2 linked regions of the Caenorhabditis elegans genome follow. The protein of the gene in region 2 purifies or fractionates together with the protein of the main gene of each other region. This does not show direct contact. Each region holds a gene or a part of one and is shown on either strand. Other genes may lie near its edges.

Region 1 (6,727 bases), 470 kb from region 2:
AATGAAGTAATTGGAACTTGCTGAAATTTTCGAAAAAAAATCTTTGAATATTAGATTTTTTCTAAACGGCGTAATTTTTTTAAAAGTAGAATAAAAACTACATGAAAAAATATTTTTTCAGTGTGTATTTTATTATTAAATGAAAGCGACCATTCATAGGTAAAATAGGCAGATTTTCAAAACTATAAGTTCATAAATCACTTCAAAATAACTTTTTTCGAAATTTTTTTCAGAAACTTTGATGCCAATTTTAAGCTCTTTCAGAATTTACCAGCAACTTTCCAGTAGGTGCCAGAAGCTTTAAGCAGTTACAGAAAACGTACATATTCAGCCATACTTTTCATTGCGTATTTTATTATTAAATGAAATCGACCATTTATATGTAAAATAGGCAGATTTACAAAACTTTGAAAATTCCCAAATCACTTCAAAATAACTTTTTTTTAAAATTTCTTTCAGAAAGTTTGTAGCAAATTTCAAGCTCTTTCAGAATTTACTAGCAACTTTCCAGTAGATGCCAGATGCTTCAAGTAGTTACAGAAAACGTACAATTTCAGCCATACCTTTCAATGCGTATTTTATTATTAAATGAAAGCGACCATTCATAGGCAAAATAGGGGGAGACAACTGCAAGGCGACAGAGAGGAGCTGAGCAAGATTGCCAATTGGCTGCGGTTTTGTGGCGGACACAAAGGGTAGTTACGTATGCTGACAGTAGAGGATGTCATTCCTCCATTGATGTGAGCGACTGGTGGTTGCTCTTGGGTGACTGGTGGTTACCCTTTATTTTTTTGTTGTTATTTTCTATGATTTAGCAACTGCTCTATTCCTGATTTTGTACTTCCAATGACTGTTGAGACGCCAGATGGTTGGGAAATTGCTCAATTTGTCGCATTTGCGCCAAAAAGCTACGCATACAAGATGCTGAACGCACATAATGAAGAAAAGTGTGTTGTGAAAGCAAACGGGATTACCCTGAGTTGTGTAAATGCAAACAGGGTAAGTTTTTACAGTATGATACAAATGGCAAGTGTTTTTCATTTCTTTTCACGGGACAATTTTTAAATTTTTAGGTACTAGATCAGAATGACATGGCATCGAACAGCAATTCACAACAAAACGGATGCGTATGAAGAGATGCGGGGCAAGCGGAGACCTATTCAACGGACTGGAGACTGTCATTGAGGAAAAACAAGATGCGGCACGGAAATTAATATTTCATTCTTCTCCGACTCTCTTTTTTTTAAAGTTCTTTTAATACTCTGTACAATTTTTTTGAATTATTTTTATTACATAAAAAACTCGAGAAAAACCATTTAAAAAACTTATTTTGGAGATCGTGAGTATGACTGGTGCTTCTCAGAAAACTTTGGATTGTTCAGCTCTTCCATGTTCGACCCTTTAACAATATTAGTTGAAATATTAATCAAGTGTACCGGTGGATGTACCTTGGGTTCATTTCAGGAATGTATACTCCAGTCTGTTTCCGGGGTCTCCTCGGTGTGCATATCTCCTATCTCTAAAGTAATTGTGTTTATAAATCACTTCAAAATAACTTTTTTCAAAATTTCTTTCAGAAACTTTGTTGCAAATTTTAAGCTCTTTCAGAATTTACCAACAACTTTCCAGTCGGTGCCAGAAGCTTTAAGCAGTTACAGAAAACGTGAATTTTCAGCCATACCTTTTAGTTCCTATTTTATTATTTTATTTAGTTGATCATTTATATTTATTTTGTTGTGTAAATTTCATTTTCTAGTTGTGCTTTCTATTGTAGCCAGTTTTCTTCTCAATAAAAAATTACCTTTTTCAGATCTCATAAAACTCTTTGTTCATTTTCAAAAATATTTCCGCAACCCTGCCATCACTTAACCCTCTCAATCCCATTATCAATGACGTCCATTTGGCTCTTTTATGTCTGATGCAACGAGGCAATCGTTTGAACGCCGCCGATATTTGCACTTTTCTTCTTTTCATCAAATCTTTTTTTTTGAATTATATCTCTTTCTCAGCGATTGAAAGTACAAAGATAACACCTTTTGTGTGATAAAGGAGGGAAATTTAGTAAATTTTCAATTTGCAGTTTTGTTACGGTGAATATTAGTAATTCATATTCATTGTGAGATGTCTTACTAGTTAATTAATTTGGGTCCCTTCCGTATCACCTCATTAGTGGACACAGTCCGTGCATTCAAAAGCTTCAAGCTCCAGATCTCATCCCCGCTCTGAATGCCTTAACCTACCAAGTATCAAATTACCAACTGTGCTTGGCAAGTTGTGATACGGTAGGCAATACGTCTATGCCCTCACCCCTTCACTAACTCTCTCTCTCTCTCTCCATATATCTCTTCGGTTGGATTTTGAAATATGTTTACAACTAGGCAACCTTGAATGCTTAGTTTCTCATAACATTTGCAATTGGAGAACACTTTTTTTTGAATTTTAGACTTTTCGATTCTCAATTTTGGTTTTACAACTTCATTGATGAAGCTCGGGTTCTAGTAGTATGTATTGTGAAACATTCTCACTTTGACTACTCATATCTAGGTTCTCTTTCAAGATATCGGTAAACTTTCAACTACAAAACTGAAGTTTAACACTCAACAAATAATTTGTCAGTTTTGAATATTCCTATAAAACAAAAGATAATCGAGATAAAAGCAGTCAAAGTTTAAAGATGATTTGTCGTGTTAGTCACGTTTTCCGTCAGCCCACTTCTCTCATCTTTTTGGCAGTTTTTCAAAATTATTACAGAAACGTGGAAAAATATTCGTACTTTTGGAAAATAACTTTATATTTGATTATAAGCTCCAAAAAGTTGCTCAAAACCTGACACGAAATAGCTATGTGAATTTATATTTGAGTCAGTTTTTGAACAACTTATCGAAATTCTCCACTAAAATTTGAGTTATTTTCAAAAATTACAAATATATTTCTAAATAAATATCTGAAGAAAAAATTAGACATTTTCCCCTGTTTGCCAAAAAACTGCGCCAGTCTGGAATTTTTTACCTACTTTATTTTTAATATCTTTTTCATGATTCCATGAAAAATAGTTTTCAAGTATTTTTTAAATTAAAATTTTTCAGTGTCCATAAAACCCTCTTCAAGCCAACCAAAATGCAGCATTCCCGCTCCAGTGAGTATCTTTTTGTTTTAAAAAATATTTCACATCAAGTTTTTTTTTCTGTAATTTCAAGTTCCCTGTTTCAGATTCCCCATCGTCGCCACCAAGAAGACAGCCAAACAATTTGTTCAACCAACCGGCTAGAGCTGTTTTCCGTAAGATTTTTTCAGTGACAACTTGAATTTTTAATGCTCAAATAGTTCCAGCTTCCTTTCCAGTCATGGGAGAAGCCGTTCCAATGACCTTTTTTCCGATGAGTGGATCAAACACTTCCACACTTTGTGAGTTTTTGGCCTTAAAGTATCGTACCATGTGGCCTCAAATAGAGCAGCTGAAAAACATTTTTATTCACAACTTTTTTTCAGTCCCATCTTCGTTTGGACTACAACAGGCTCCGAGTAAGTTTTTTTTAAATTCTGTTAAGTTTGTAAGTTTTGGGTCCTAAATTTTCACATCACATTAAAAAAATTGCGAATTTAAAATTTAGAAAACAACTAACCTGGCCAAATCATGTAGTAAATCTTATTTCAGGTGCAGCTCCTGCCAGACCAGAACTTCGAGAAAATTCGGTGGAGATCGTCGAGAGGAACTGTACATGTTTACTTTAAAAAATTGAAAACACTTAGTTGTTCACTTCTATGTAATATAATTTAAAAAAATAATTCAGCTGCTCCACCACAGCCTGTCGGAGTTCGGCGCAGACCCTCTTGGCAGAACGGTATTTTTTCAATTTTCTAGATAAATTTTAAGCTTTCATCGTTATTCAATTTTTAGATAGTGCTCAGGCAAGAAATCTCCTAACCCAAGCGGCTCAAAGAAATCTCGAAGTGGACCATCTCAACAATTTGGAGCTGAAAATTGAAGTGGAGCGGGTCAGGAAAGAACAATTGACGATTCGATTGCAAAGAGAAAGGGAGGAGTTGAACTTTGAGAAGGAAAAATCGGAACTTCTACTGGAAAGAAAAAGAGAGGAGTTGAACTTCGAGAAAGAGAAATCGGAGCTTCTGAAGAAAGCCAGGGAAAGTGAGCTGGAAGAGCTGAGAACTGCGCCTGCAAGAAGATCCGATATTCAGGAGAAGCCGGAGGTTGAGCAGGTAAGTCTTGCTTAGGGGATTTAGTCCAAATACACTGATTAAAATTACCAAATATCATAATTAAGTTAATTAGATTGTTTAAAATTCCCAGCAAAAGATTCGGCTAATTGCCAAAATTTTTAAAAATATATGGATTCTTTGAGTACTGTTGGAGGTTTGAACGTTTAGAATGTTTGATAAAAAATAGAAATTGTAGATATTTTTATTAACAAACTGCCAAAATAATTATAAGTTATATCTGACTTTTTTTGCCTTTTGACTGCAATTTGAAATTATCAATTTTTGATCAATTTTTTTGGTTTTACTATAGTATTTGGATGCTTTATCACAATGGTAGCTTTTTAGAGAACGCTACTTCTGAAAAGAACACTTAAATCCAACATTTCAAAAATTGAATTTATTTTTTCAGAACTCAGGCACTTCGGGGGTCAGCGTTCCTGCCAACGTGCCTGCGAGAAGATCGCAACAAGCGCCGGCCGATCAGGTAATTTTTGCTAGAAGGATTTAGCCTAAATACTTCAAAAATAATCAAAAATCCCCAGATTTTAAAATTAAGGTTTTTATATTTCCAGCCACAGTTTGGTCAATTGCCAAAAATTTTCAAAAAATGTGGACTTTTGAGTAATTTCGAGAATTTTTGCAGATTTTAAAATATATAAACAACGTTAAAAAAAATTTTTTTTTGATCAAATTCCAAAATTATGACAGTTACTTCTTTTTGACTGCTAATTGAAAATTTCAACATTTTTTTGAAAAGTTTTACTTTTGATATTGGAACATTTTACCACAATGGGAGCCTTTTTTTTGACAACGTCCCTTTTGAACTCAATATTAAAATCAAATTTTTCAAAAATCTGAATATACTTTTTTCAGGTCCCAGGTCCTTCAAATGTTGCGTGCCGCCGTGGAAAGCGGGGATGCACAAGTACCGTAAGTGAAAATTAATCAGGAAATCTCCCTTTAAATATAATATTATTTCAGGCGCCGATTAAAAAGACTGTGGAATTGTGCAAGCGGACCAAAACAATTCCGAAAAAATGTAACAAGTAGATAAGGTGGTTTTGAATTTACTTAGTTTTTAAAAATTAACCGAGATGCTAATTTCAAGGAAAAGCTTTAATGTGGTTTTGAAAGTAATATTGAAAAAAATTTAAAAAATATATAACTTATCTAGTATCGCTGGCGTTCAGAACTGAAAATTTGGATTCAACTTCCCATTTTCTCAAGGTCTTAACTTCTAACAACAAAAAAAACCAGTGCAAAAGATAGGGGGTTTCAAACAAAAACATACACGCCGGTAATCAGGCAGGAGGCTGCTACAGTAGCCCTCGGGGGTTACTTGGCAATCGGCCAAATTGACCTATTGCGCAACACAGCTCTGTTGCTACTTTTCACGGTGTTCACAGTTTGGATAGATGTCTGCTCATCCGTATATTTTGCAACAAATAGGTGTATCATATTACATGGTGTTCGTTCATACTTTTGGTGTGAGGGAGCTTTGAGGTCACCGGCAACTTTGAAAGTTTATGTTAGCTGATTCTTTGATCTATGGAAATTTTTAGGATTGTAGGGATACTTGTAACTAGACAGTTAGACTTGTAACTAGGCAATTTGGGCAGGTCAGGCAGAGGGTCTATTCCCTAAAAAGAATTAACCTGGATCAACAAAAAGAACGTTGAACCAACCAGAAAGATCAAAAAAATTCGCTTGAAAATGTGAAATTCACCACATCACCAGCGACAAGCTGATTTCAGGCAATACCGTGTTTTGAAAAGACAAAATCCTTTTAACACAAAAGGACACAGATTCCAATCGAAACAAATTTCAGAGTGAAGCCTCCGACCAAAAGATTCTTCTCCCGTTTTTTCTCCGGCTCCCTACTGACTCAATCCATGCTCATTATCTCCAGGAAAACTTCACTTTCAATAATCTTTTTTTTATTTTTCCATGATTCTCAGTATCTCAGCGATTGTTTTGAAATTTTCTGTTCAGTTTATTTCAATCAATTATCACATACCTTCCATATTCCTCAACTTTTCTATTTTTTAATAAAATTCTTGTTTTTAAGAGGCAAATATAATTTTTAGGATTTTACAGAAATTTTTCGCAGATGGTTTTTCTGGCAATTTCAGCGACGTTCAGACAATTGCTAGGCAGTCCCAAAAAATATTCTTACAATTTAATTTTTTAAGACTTCAAAATTTGATCGCCTTTTCATCAACTAAAGAAAAACCGTGTATTTTTTTCAGATGTTCTCTACTTCTCTCATTTTCTAGGCATATTTTTCTCAGAGTATGTATCATCATTTTGCACATTATGACCCCACCCTTCCTGGGGGGCATACCATCGCCTGTCGACCTCTCTTTCACTATTAACATTTACGTTTTATTGGGATGGGAGAGGAGGCAACCATTTTTCCCACCCATAAAAATTCACATTTTTGCCAAAAATTATATATTCTGTCTTGTGATATTTTTAACATTGAGATTGAAAGTGTGTCTTTTGTTGT
Region 2 (8,508 bases):
CAGATATAGAAAAATAGTCTCAGCCTAAGCCTGAGCCTAAGCGTAAGCCTAAGCCTAAGCCAAAGCCTAAGCCTAAGCCTACGCCTAAGCCTAAGCCTAAGCCCAAGTCTTAGCCTAAGCCTAAGCCCAAGCCCGCCATCTCTACATTCCAAATATAAGTCCTTTCAGTTATCAATCAGTGACTCCGATACCTACTACTACATCATGAAAAAGAGTGTCGTCTGGATGCAAAGCCGCGAGTTCCAAAAGCTCACGAAACCATTCGACAAGCACGAGTTTGACATTTCACCGGCTGTAGTAAACGCGTTCTACTCCCCCGAAAAGAATGCAATCAGTAAGTTCCACCTACCTCAAGATCTATACCAAAATTGAAATTCCAGCATTCCCAGCGGGCATTCTGCAACCTCCGTTCTTCTCCGGCACATTTCCCAAGGCAGTGAATTACGGAGCAATTGGAGCAGTGATTGGGCACGAGATTACTCATGGATTCGATGATCAAGGATCACAGTATGATAAGGACGGAAATTTGCACAATTGGTGGAGTGAGAGCTCGTTGAATTCGTTTGACACAAGGAGGAGGTGTATTGTCGAGCAGTACGGGAACTATACAGTGCCCAAGACTAACTTTAGGGTAAGCACGGGAAAAAGGCGTGGGAGGATATTGATTCACAACTAAGAGAGACCCGCGAGGCGTCGGACGCAGAGAAGAGACGCAGACGGCTAGACGCTCTGACTAGAGATATAAAAATGGTTTCAACTAACAAATTGTGTGAAATTTTCTTCTGAACATTTTTCTAGTTGAAACTTATTTTCTATCTCATACCGTTTTTGAGATAACCCCGTATTTCCAGGTGAACGGAAAACTGACCCAAGGAGAGAACATTGCCGACAACGGTGGAGTCAAAGAAGCGTTCCAAGCCTATCAGAAATATGTGACCGAAAATGGAGAAGAGCCTAGGTTACCCGGTCTCCAGCAGTACACGAATGAGCAGATCTTCTTTGTCAGCTATGCACATGTGAGTTGTTTGCCTGTTTTGAAATTTGTAGTAAAATTGGCAAAAATGAACCAATCGTTCACTAAAAATCCCTCAGATTAGCGAAAAAATCAAAATTTTTCCAGTTCTGGTGTGGCAAGAAGAAAGAAGCCGCAGCGATGCAACAAGTGCTCACCGATGAGCATTCTCCAGAGGTGTTCCGAGTAATTGGTGTCCTGTCGAATATGCAAGCTTTTGCTGACGTCTACAAGTGTCCCCGTAATGCTCCAGTTAACCCAGATCATAAATGTATTGTTTGGTAATCTGTTCCTTTTTTTGTCTGTGCTCCTTATCTCAAGCTCTCTTTGATTCTTCCTACATAGGCACAAAAATGCTGCCTGCCTGCCTAACTAGGTTGCCTGACTAGGCAGGCTTGCAGGCAGGCATATTTGTGCCTCTCTCATTAGTTCCCAAAGCTGCCTTACGGGTCTCTCCCGTGAAAATGTACATATTTCCGATTTTATAATTCTACCGTGTGACTCTTCCCTTGAAAACTCTTCTCGTCTCGTTTTGACCTACAAAATATTGAATTTGAAAAAAATTAATCACTCAAGTTTAAAAAGAACATTTATATTTAAATTTTATGTCAATAAAAAATTATTCTTTATTCAAAAAATCGAGCACCTCGTTTTGGGATTCATAGGTGATCCTTCTGGGCAGTTGAATGCTGTCGCAAATTGTGGCATATTGGAAAAGATCCCATTGACACGGAAATTTCCAGTCGGGTGTACTCTGGTGAGCTCTTCTACCAGGCTTGTTGTTGGGGGCAACGAGCAGAAATCCTGGAATTTAGGAAGTCATTTAAAAATTCAATTTTTTAAAAGATTTACCAAAGCAGCCGCTCTGAAATAGAGCTTATCAATATTTTCATTTTCAAATCCAATGACTTTTTGCTCTTTTGATGAATCGAGTTTTTCAAAGACCTTCCAAGCAACTGTAACTCCAATCATGTCGGCCACCATCTCGTTGAGAGTTGTAGTTCCGTTGAGCTGACAATTTTCTTTCGTGCCTACGTGCCTACGTGCCTACATGCCTACGTGCCTACGTGCCTACGTGCCTACGTGCCTACGTGCCTACGTGCTTACGTGCCTGGGTGTCCTGGATGTTTAGATGCCTAGGTTCCAGGATGTTAAGGTGCCTAGGTATCCGCCTAGATTCTTATGTACCTGCGTGCCTACGTGCCTACGTTCCTAGACGTGTTTACGTGACTACCTCAAACTCACATTTTTGCCAAAAACCGGATCATCATACTCATTGTATTGATCTACCAGGCACTGAGTTTTCTTCCCATACTCCTTCAAATCCTCCGGCTTCATCCAACTTCTGACTTCTCCGTTTTCGTCCCTCTTTATACCTGCTGTATCGAATCCATGACTAGTTTCGTGAGCCAAAATGTTTCCGGTTAGAGCAATATTTACGTATTTTGGGTAGGTGGCGTCGAAAAGCGGATCATCCATGTACCCGACAAGGAAAGCTGAAAGGTGGAAGCGGTTTTTAAGCAGCCGACATATAATGGGTTGTGTAAATTGCAACCCGTGAATTGTCGGCTGCTCTTGACAGTTTACAATCATTGCAGCCGACACCATCTCGGAGGTCTGAACTATTGGACCCATGAAATGTCGACTGCTGGTTAAAACTCACACAAATGATTTCGATCAGTATAAAACGCGTTCGTCATGAGAACCGGCAGCACCGGATCCATCGGTGTCTCTAGAGCCACAAACTCGATGCCTTGCTCCATATGGAATCTTCCGATCTTCTTGAGAATCCCGTAAAGGGTGTCTTTGGGGAGAAGTTTGAGCTGCAAAATTATCCCAATTTGAAAAAAATTTAAGCATGCTCACCGTTTCGAACATCTTATCCAGTGCTCCTTTTTTCTCGAATTCCTTCGGATAACCAATCATTTTGCCCATTTTCTCCAGCTTCAAAATCGCATTTTTCTTGGAGTCAGCTCCGAGCCACGTGGATTCTTGGAGCATTTCTATGAAGGATTTCTTAGTTTCTTCAGCCATTTCGTCAACGATTTTCAGATTTCCTTTTTCGAAATGATTTCGGACAAAAACACGGAGTGATGCTTTTGGGAGGTATTCTATTACAAGCTGGAAAACAAATTACGGGTATTGATTACGGTAGGAGTACGGTTGTAACGCATAATTCAAATTCCGAGCCTCAATGTGGTCGCTGACCAATCAATCGCTGACCAACCAATCCACAAGGGGCGTGGCCACCGTCGCTGATTGGTTGATCGTGCCCGCGTAGTTCAAACCTTTTCACAATTTCGTTTCTTAATCACGTTGTCGTGAACCGAGAGACCATTCATTGCGTGGTCCATATAATAAAAAATCAAATAGTTGGCCAGTGTTCGCTTCGGTGTGGATTTCAGCAGCTTTTCGAGCTGAAATTTTTTTTCAAAAGGCTCATATTCTGCTGAATGCCAAAAAAAAACCCACATTCATCTTCTCATCAAAAAACAGCGAATGCTTGTGAGCTACCATTCTCGGCTTAACCTTCGTAACTAGCAGCTTTTTCCGGTTCGGATTCATCATTTCTTCGATAATCTTCTCCAATTTCAGACTAGGAACTTGGGCTTGAAGCTTGGAAAATTGGACTTTTTCGGCGTTATAGTCATAGGCGTACTGAAAGTGAATATTTTTAAGTGACCTATTTAGCAGAATTTTCTACAAACTTGGCTCAAAGTCTCCTCCAACGTAATATAGTCTTCAACATCATCGGCAATTACATTTTCATCCGGTTGAAGCCCATTCTTCTCCAAAATATCAAAAATTATCTGAAAAAGGTATCATGCCAAAAATTTCAGAATTTCTCCCAAAAACCTGCTGAAAATTCGCAGAAACCTTTGGGCTCCGGGCCATATCCGGAGCAACTTCCAAAAATGGGACTTCAGTTGGACGGATTTGAAAAAGCCCGAAATTACTGCTACCAAGCTTGACGATGTTGAGCAACATTTCTGGAAAAAATGAATTTTCAGCAAATTTAAAGCTTAAAATAAGTACCATTCAAGTTGAGTTTAGTCTCATCCCAATTTTTGTCTGCCGCTGGCCATGATCCAATTTTTTGAATATCCTTGAATAATTCTCTGAAGGCAGTTTTCATATTTGCATTGAAAATCTGAAATTTTTATTATTAGCCTGAAAACCTATGTAGAGGCCTATAAGCCTAAAAGCCTACAAGACTATAAGCCTGAAGACCTAAAAGCCTGAAAGCGCATTGGTCTAAACACATACATAACATCTAAAAGGATTGAAAGCCAAAAAAAAAAGCTTAAACGCTTATAGGTCTGATATCTTACAAGCAAGCCGATAAGCCTAGTAGATTACACGCCTATGAGCCTATTAATTAACAAGCCTATACGGTCTATGGGCTTATTATGGCCTACATATGAGCCTATAAACCGTATAGCCTATAAACGTAAAAGCCTATGAGCCTAAAGCCATATAAGCCTAAAGGCCTAAAAACCTAAAGGCCGATTAGCCTAATATATTAAAACTTTGAAGCCAATCATCTTGAAAATCGTTAGGCCAATTAGCCTACTAAACTATAAACCGATAAGCTTATAAGCCTTTGAGCCTATAAGCCTAAAGGCCTATAAGCCTAAAGACCTATAAACTTCCAAACCTATTATCTTAAAAATCGTTAGGCAATAAGCCTACATTCCTATAAGTCAATAAGATAAGCTTATAAGCCCTGAAGCCTATAAGCCTAAGGACCTATAAGCCTACAAGCCAATAAGACTAAAGGCCTATAAGCCTATAAGCCTTCAAGCCAAGCTTTTTCAAACTCACTTCTTCGTTTTTCAACCCCTCACAAGTCCGATACACCTGCCTCATCACATTTTCAGATTTCGACTCAGAAGTCTCATTTTTCAGCAGGAAATCTGAAATTGTTCGTTTTTTTTCAAGCATTTCCAAGAATTTTCCAACTTTTAATCATTCTCTGAATGATGATATCCTTCTTCTGCAGTCTTCGATTTGCCACCTCGTGCTCCGAATACTTCCCGCAAGCGGCTTTGTAGAAATCCTGACATGGGTCTACGGAGGGGTCTTGGAAGTTGAGCTGGAAGAAAATTTCATAATTTAAAAAAATGTGTAAACTATTTTTTTGCTATCAAAGCTTACAAGCTGATCAGCCAAAGTTACACATCCTGGAGTTTCGCAGACATTCCTTGGCTTCGAAGCCTGAGTCACCGGCTCAGGCCTTGTCATCGTCACCGGATTTGTCACCGGCTCAGGCCTTGACTTCTTCTCGGGAGCTACCAACTTCTGAGCAATCGGAGCAACTCTTGGCGGCTCCACTGGCTTTTCATTGAGCTTCATGATAATAATAGTGGCGAGGAGTGCAATAATTGTGAGAACCAGGAACACGACTAGAGCAATCAGAGGATTGGCCAGCTTATCTTTCGCAGACATTTTGGGATTTTTTTTTCTGGAAAAATTGATTTAAAAATCGATTCAAAAATCAATTTAAAAAAACTGAGAAATTACCTGCACTGATCTTCAAAAGAAAACGAGAGATAAGAAAGTAAAAGTTGAGAAATGATTCATTTTTGATATCGATTCACGGAAAAACAACTTGAATGAAAAGTGAATTTAGAATTTAGAACACGTTTGAAAATTTATTTTATATTCAAATTTTTTTCAGAGTTTAAAATTTCGAATAGTGAAAAACTACGAATATACAATAAGCATTAAAAATAATTCTCGTGGACTGAATCGAATTAAATCGTTGCTCCGACTAGAGTGACATTTTTGTTTATTACTCGTACCTCTTCACAAAAAAATTTGGAAATTCACAGAGTCGCTGCTCATTTTAAAAAGCAGGTTAGTTGGAAAAATCTTTCCAGTTATTGATTTTTAGCGAAGGACAGTTTTACCGTATATTCTCTTTACTTAACTTTTCCAGCTTATATCTCAGTTGTCGTTTGTTTGATTAAAAATTGTCAACTGTAATAAATTAGTTCTGTATTTCTCCCCCTTAATAACTTTCAGTAATTTTTAGAAGCATTTATTGAACACAAGTTATTAGAAAAATCGAGAATTATTTCGTTTTCCAGTTCCAGGTGGACCAGTAATCGTAGGATTCGTCGCCAAAGTGGTTCCAGTAGATGCTGGGGCCTTTGAGGATTCTGGCGGAGCAGTTGATGGTTTCAAAGTTGTCCGGGGCTTCTTCATCTCGTTATAAATCAATTTTGGCTTCGTAGTTTGTGATGACGTTGTCGCATTTGTTGAAAATATCGGATTCACAGACAAGTTACTGAAAATTTTACTTGAAAAGGTGTCCAGCAGAACCTCTTACCTTGGAACTTTGATTTCTGTTTCTTCGCTTCTCAAGTACAACGAGGAGCCCAAAACAAAGATTATGGGAAGCGCAAGGGTCACAATTATTGTGATGTATGGCGTCCATGGATGATATATTGTCTTGTCTAACCATGTCGGCTCGTTCGGCGGCTCTTCAGGTTTCGGAGGGGTTGGTTCCCTTTGCTGAGACGCTTCTGGACTTCCTTGAGGAATGATCGCATTTTGCTGAGGAATTATTACACTAGGCTGAGACATTTTAGCACTTTTCTGTAATTATTTCAAGTTACCAATGCGAAAAAAAGTGATAGAAACTTACTTAAAATCGATGTTAACAACAAAAAATAATTGGAAAATTGAAAAATAATTTTTTTCGAGTTGGAAGTGGCAGCGTGGATTATGAATTTAATATTTATTTTTTAAAAGTTTATTCGTAACTTACGTAATTTTTTTTCATAAAAAAACTTATTGCAATCTAACTGAGGAATGCACGTAGGCGAGGCATGCCTGAAATAAGCACGTAGGCGAGGCATGCCTGAAATAAGCACGTAGGCGAGGCATGCCTGAAATAGGCACGTAGGCGAGGCAAGCCTGAAATAGCCACGTAGGCAAGGAATTCCTGAAATAGGCACGTAGGCGAGGCATTCCTGAAATAGGTACGTAGGCTGTTTTTTTCACTATTAAGAAACGTAATAAATTAATTGTAAATATATTTAAATTTCAGGAAAATTTTACCCTGTCGATGTTGTACGTGTTTTTGAACTTTTCAAAACAAATTCTATTTTTGTGTGATTTCAATGTTATTTTAATCGATTTGAAATCGAATTTTTCACAATTCTTAATATCAAAAAATAGAAGAAAAAAAGACAAAATGCTGACACCAATGATGATAATGAGCTTTATCCTTGGCATCATTCTGACGGCACTTGGACTCGTGATTCTCACCATTTTGAATTTGGAGTACACAGCTTCCTGGGATCCTTATGATGGATAGAAGTAGGGTTCCCAGCTGAGTGAGGCGCGAAATGCGGGCCCCACGCCGGCCTTCGCCTTCGCCGTTCGCCGCTTTCAATACTGTTGACGTGAATTTAAAATTTTCATTTCTAATAATTTGTTTAAATTTTAGAAAAAAATTAAGAAATTAAGAAAAAAAGTTTACGAGTTTATCAATGAAAGGCGTAAGTGACGCCGTGAGGCCGGCGCGGCGACCGCTGAGGCCGGCGAAGGCACTCTTTTTTCTGAGTCTTATGGATACTCCAAGATATGGTTTACAAGATTTATAATTTTTTGTCTGAGATCCTGCCAACCTGGATTCCCGTGAGACCTTGTGCAGCCAAAAAAATCGAGCGAACAGATCGATAATTTCCCAGGGGACCATTTTGACCAACAAGGAGAGGGATAAGAGACGCAGAATGAATAAATATAGAGGGAGGGTGATGGACAGACCGTGCATGGTCATTCCCTCTTTTCTGCTGGCTTGATTATGATTCCGAATCAATTGTCAACCGAAAAAGTTGGCCAGATTCCTATAGTGCAACTCGAAAACGCGAATAATATGGACGGCCACGATCAGCGTGGAGCACCGGTAAGTCTACTATCGCCAAATCCTTTTTTTAAGTTCCATTTTTCAGATCCCTCGTGTTCAGAGACCGCTCAACAGACGCTGCTTGACTCGATCGAGAAAAGCAATTTCTACAACTGCAACAACCACGGATACTTCAGAAAATGACGTCAAGATGAGAAGAGATGCAATGGAGGTTCAGCACTTGGAGCAGTCTAAATTGGAGCCGGCGAACGAATCCTTATCCAATGAAACTTTCATTTTCAAATTGGCCGAGCTATTGGAAGGACCATTGAAGCCATTCATAGTTGTATCACCTGATGAAATCATCAAAGTCACAAGAGACTATCTCGAGAGAAAAGCCATTGAGCAAGAAGAGCATCAGTCTGCAATTTCAGAATTCTTTCGTTCCCTCAGTCCTAAGAGTCAGTTGAGTCAATTTTTGCAAATTTCTCAGGGGGTAAGCGTTTTTAACTTTTTTTTTACATTCATAAACACTATAATTTAGACCAGTTTGCCTCACGGTCAGCCATGCCAAGGGAACACTAGTGAGAGTGTGTACCATCCAAATCAAGTGGAAGCTCGGGGTCCATATAATGAG

Evidence for each region.
Region 1: the proteins of nep-6 (region 2) and F53C3.8 fractionate together in Caenorhabditis elegans (co-fractionation; one large-scale study listed by BioGRID). This does not show direct contact.

Annotation. Positions count from the first base shown.
Region 1 is NC_003280.10:3,888,307-3,895,033, forward strand, and holds F53C3.8 (Protein BRANCHLESS TRICHOME), read left to right. Parts: upstream 1-3,117; coding exon 3,118-3,136; intron 3,137-3,210; coding exon 3,211-3,279; intron 3,280-3,330; coding exon 3,331-3,405; intron 3,406-3,489; coding exon 3,490-3,522; intron 3,523-3,655; coding exon 3,656-3,715; intron 3,716-3,791; coding exon 3,792-3,842; intron 3,843-3,898; coding exon 3,899-4,218; intron 4,219-4,627; coding exon 4,628-4,702; intron 4,703-5,091; coding exon 5,092-5,148; intron 5,149-5,199; coding exon 5,200-5,268; downstream 5,269-6,727.
Region 2 is NC_003280.10:3,413,791-3,422,298, reverse strand, and holds nep-6 (NEPrilysin metallopeptidase family), read right to left. Parts: upstream 5,472-8,508; 5' UTR 5,462-5,471; coding exon 5,171-5,461; intron 5,109-5,170; coding exon 4,976-5,108; intron 4,930-4,975; coding exon 4,838-4,929; intron 4,164-4,837; coding exon 4,049-4,163; intron 4,003-4,048; coding exon 3,869-4,002; intron 3,823-3,868; coding exon 3,721-3,822; intron 3,671-3,720; coding exon 3,485-3,670; intron 3,430-3,484; coding exon 3,301-3,429; intron 3,134-3,300; coding exon 2,879-3,133; intron 2,836-2,878; coding exon 2,676-2,835; intron 2,509-2,675; coding exon 2,258-2,508; intron 2,024-2,257; coding exon 1,865-2,023; intron 1,817-1,864; coding exon 1,643-1,816; 3' UTR 1,627-1,642; downstream 1-1,626. Other genes in the region: nep-11 (Neprilysin-11), read left to right, coding at 169-334, 381-631, 852-1,016, 1,121-1,297; F18A12.2 (uncharacterized protein), read right to left, coding at 6,074-6,305, 6,348-6,604; F18A12.7 (FBA_2 domain-containing protein), read left to right, coding at 7,830-7,931, 7,978-8,367, 8,416-8,508.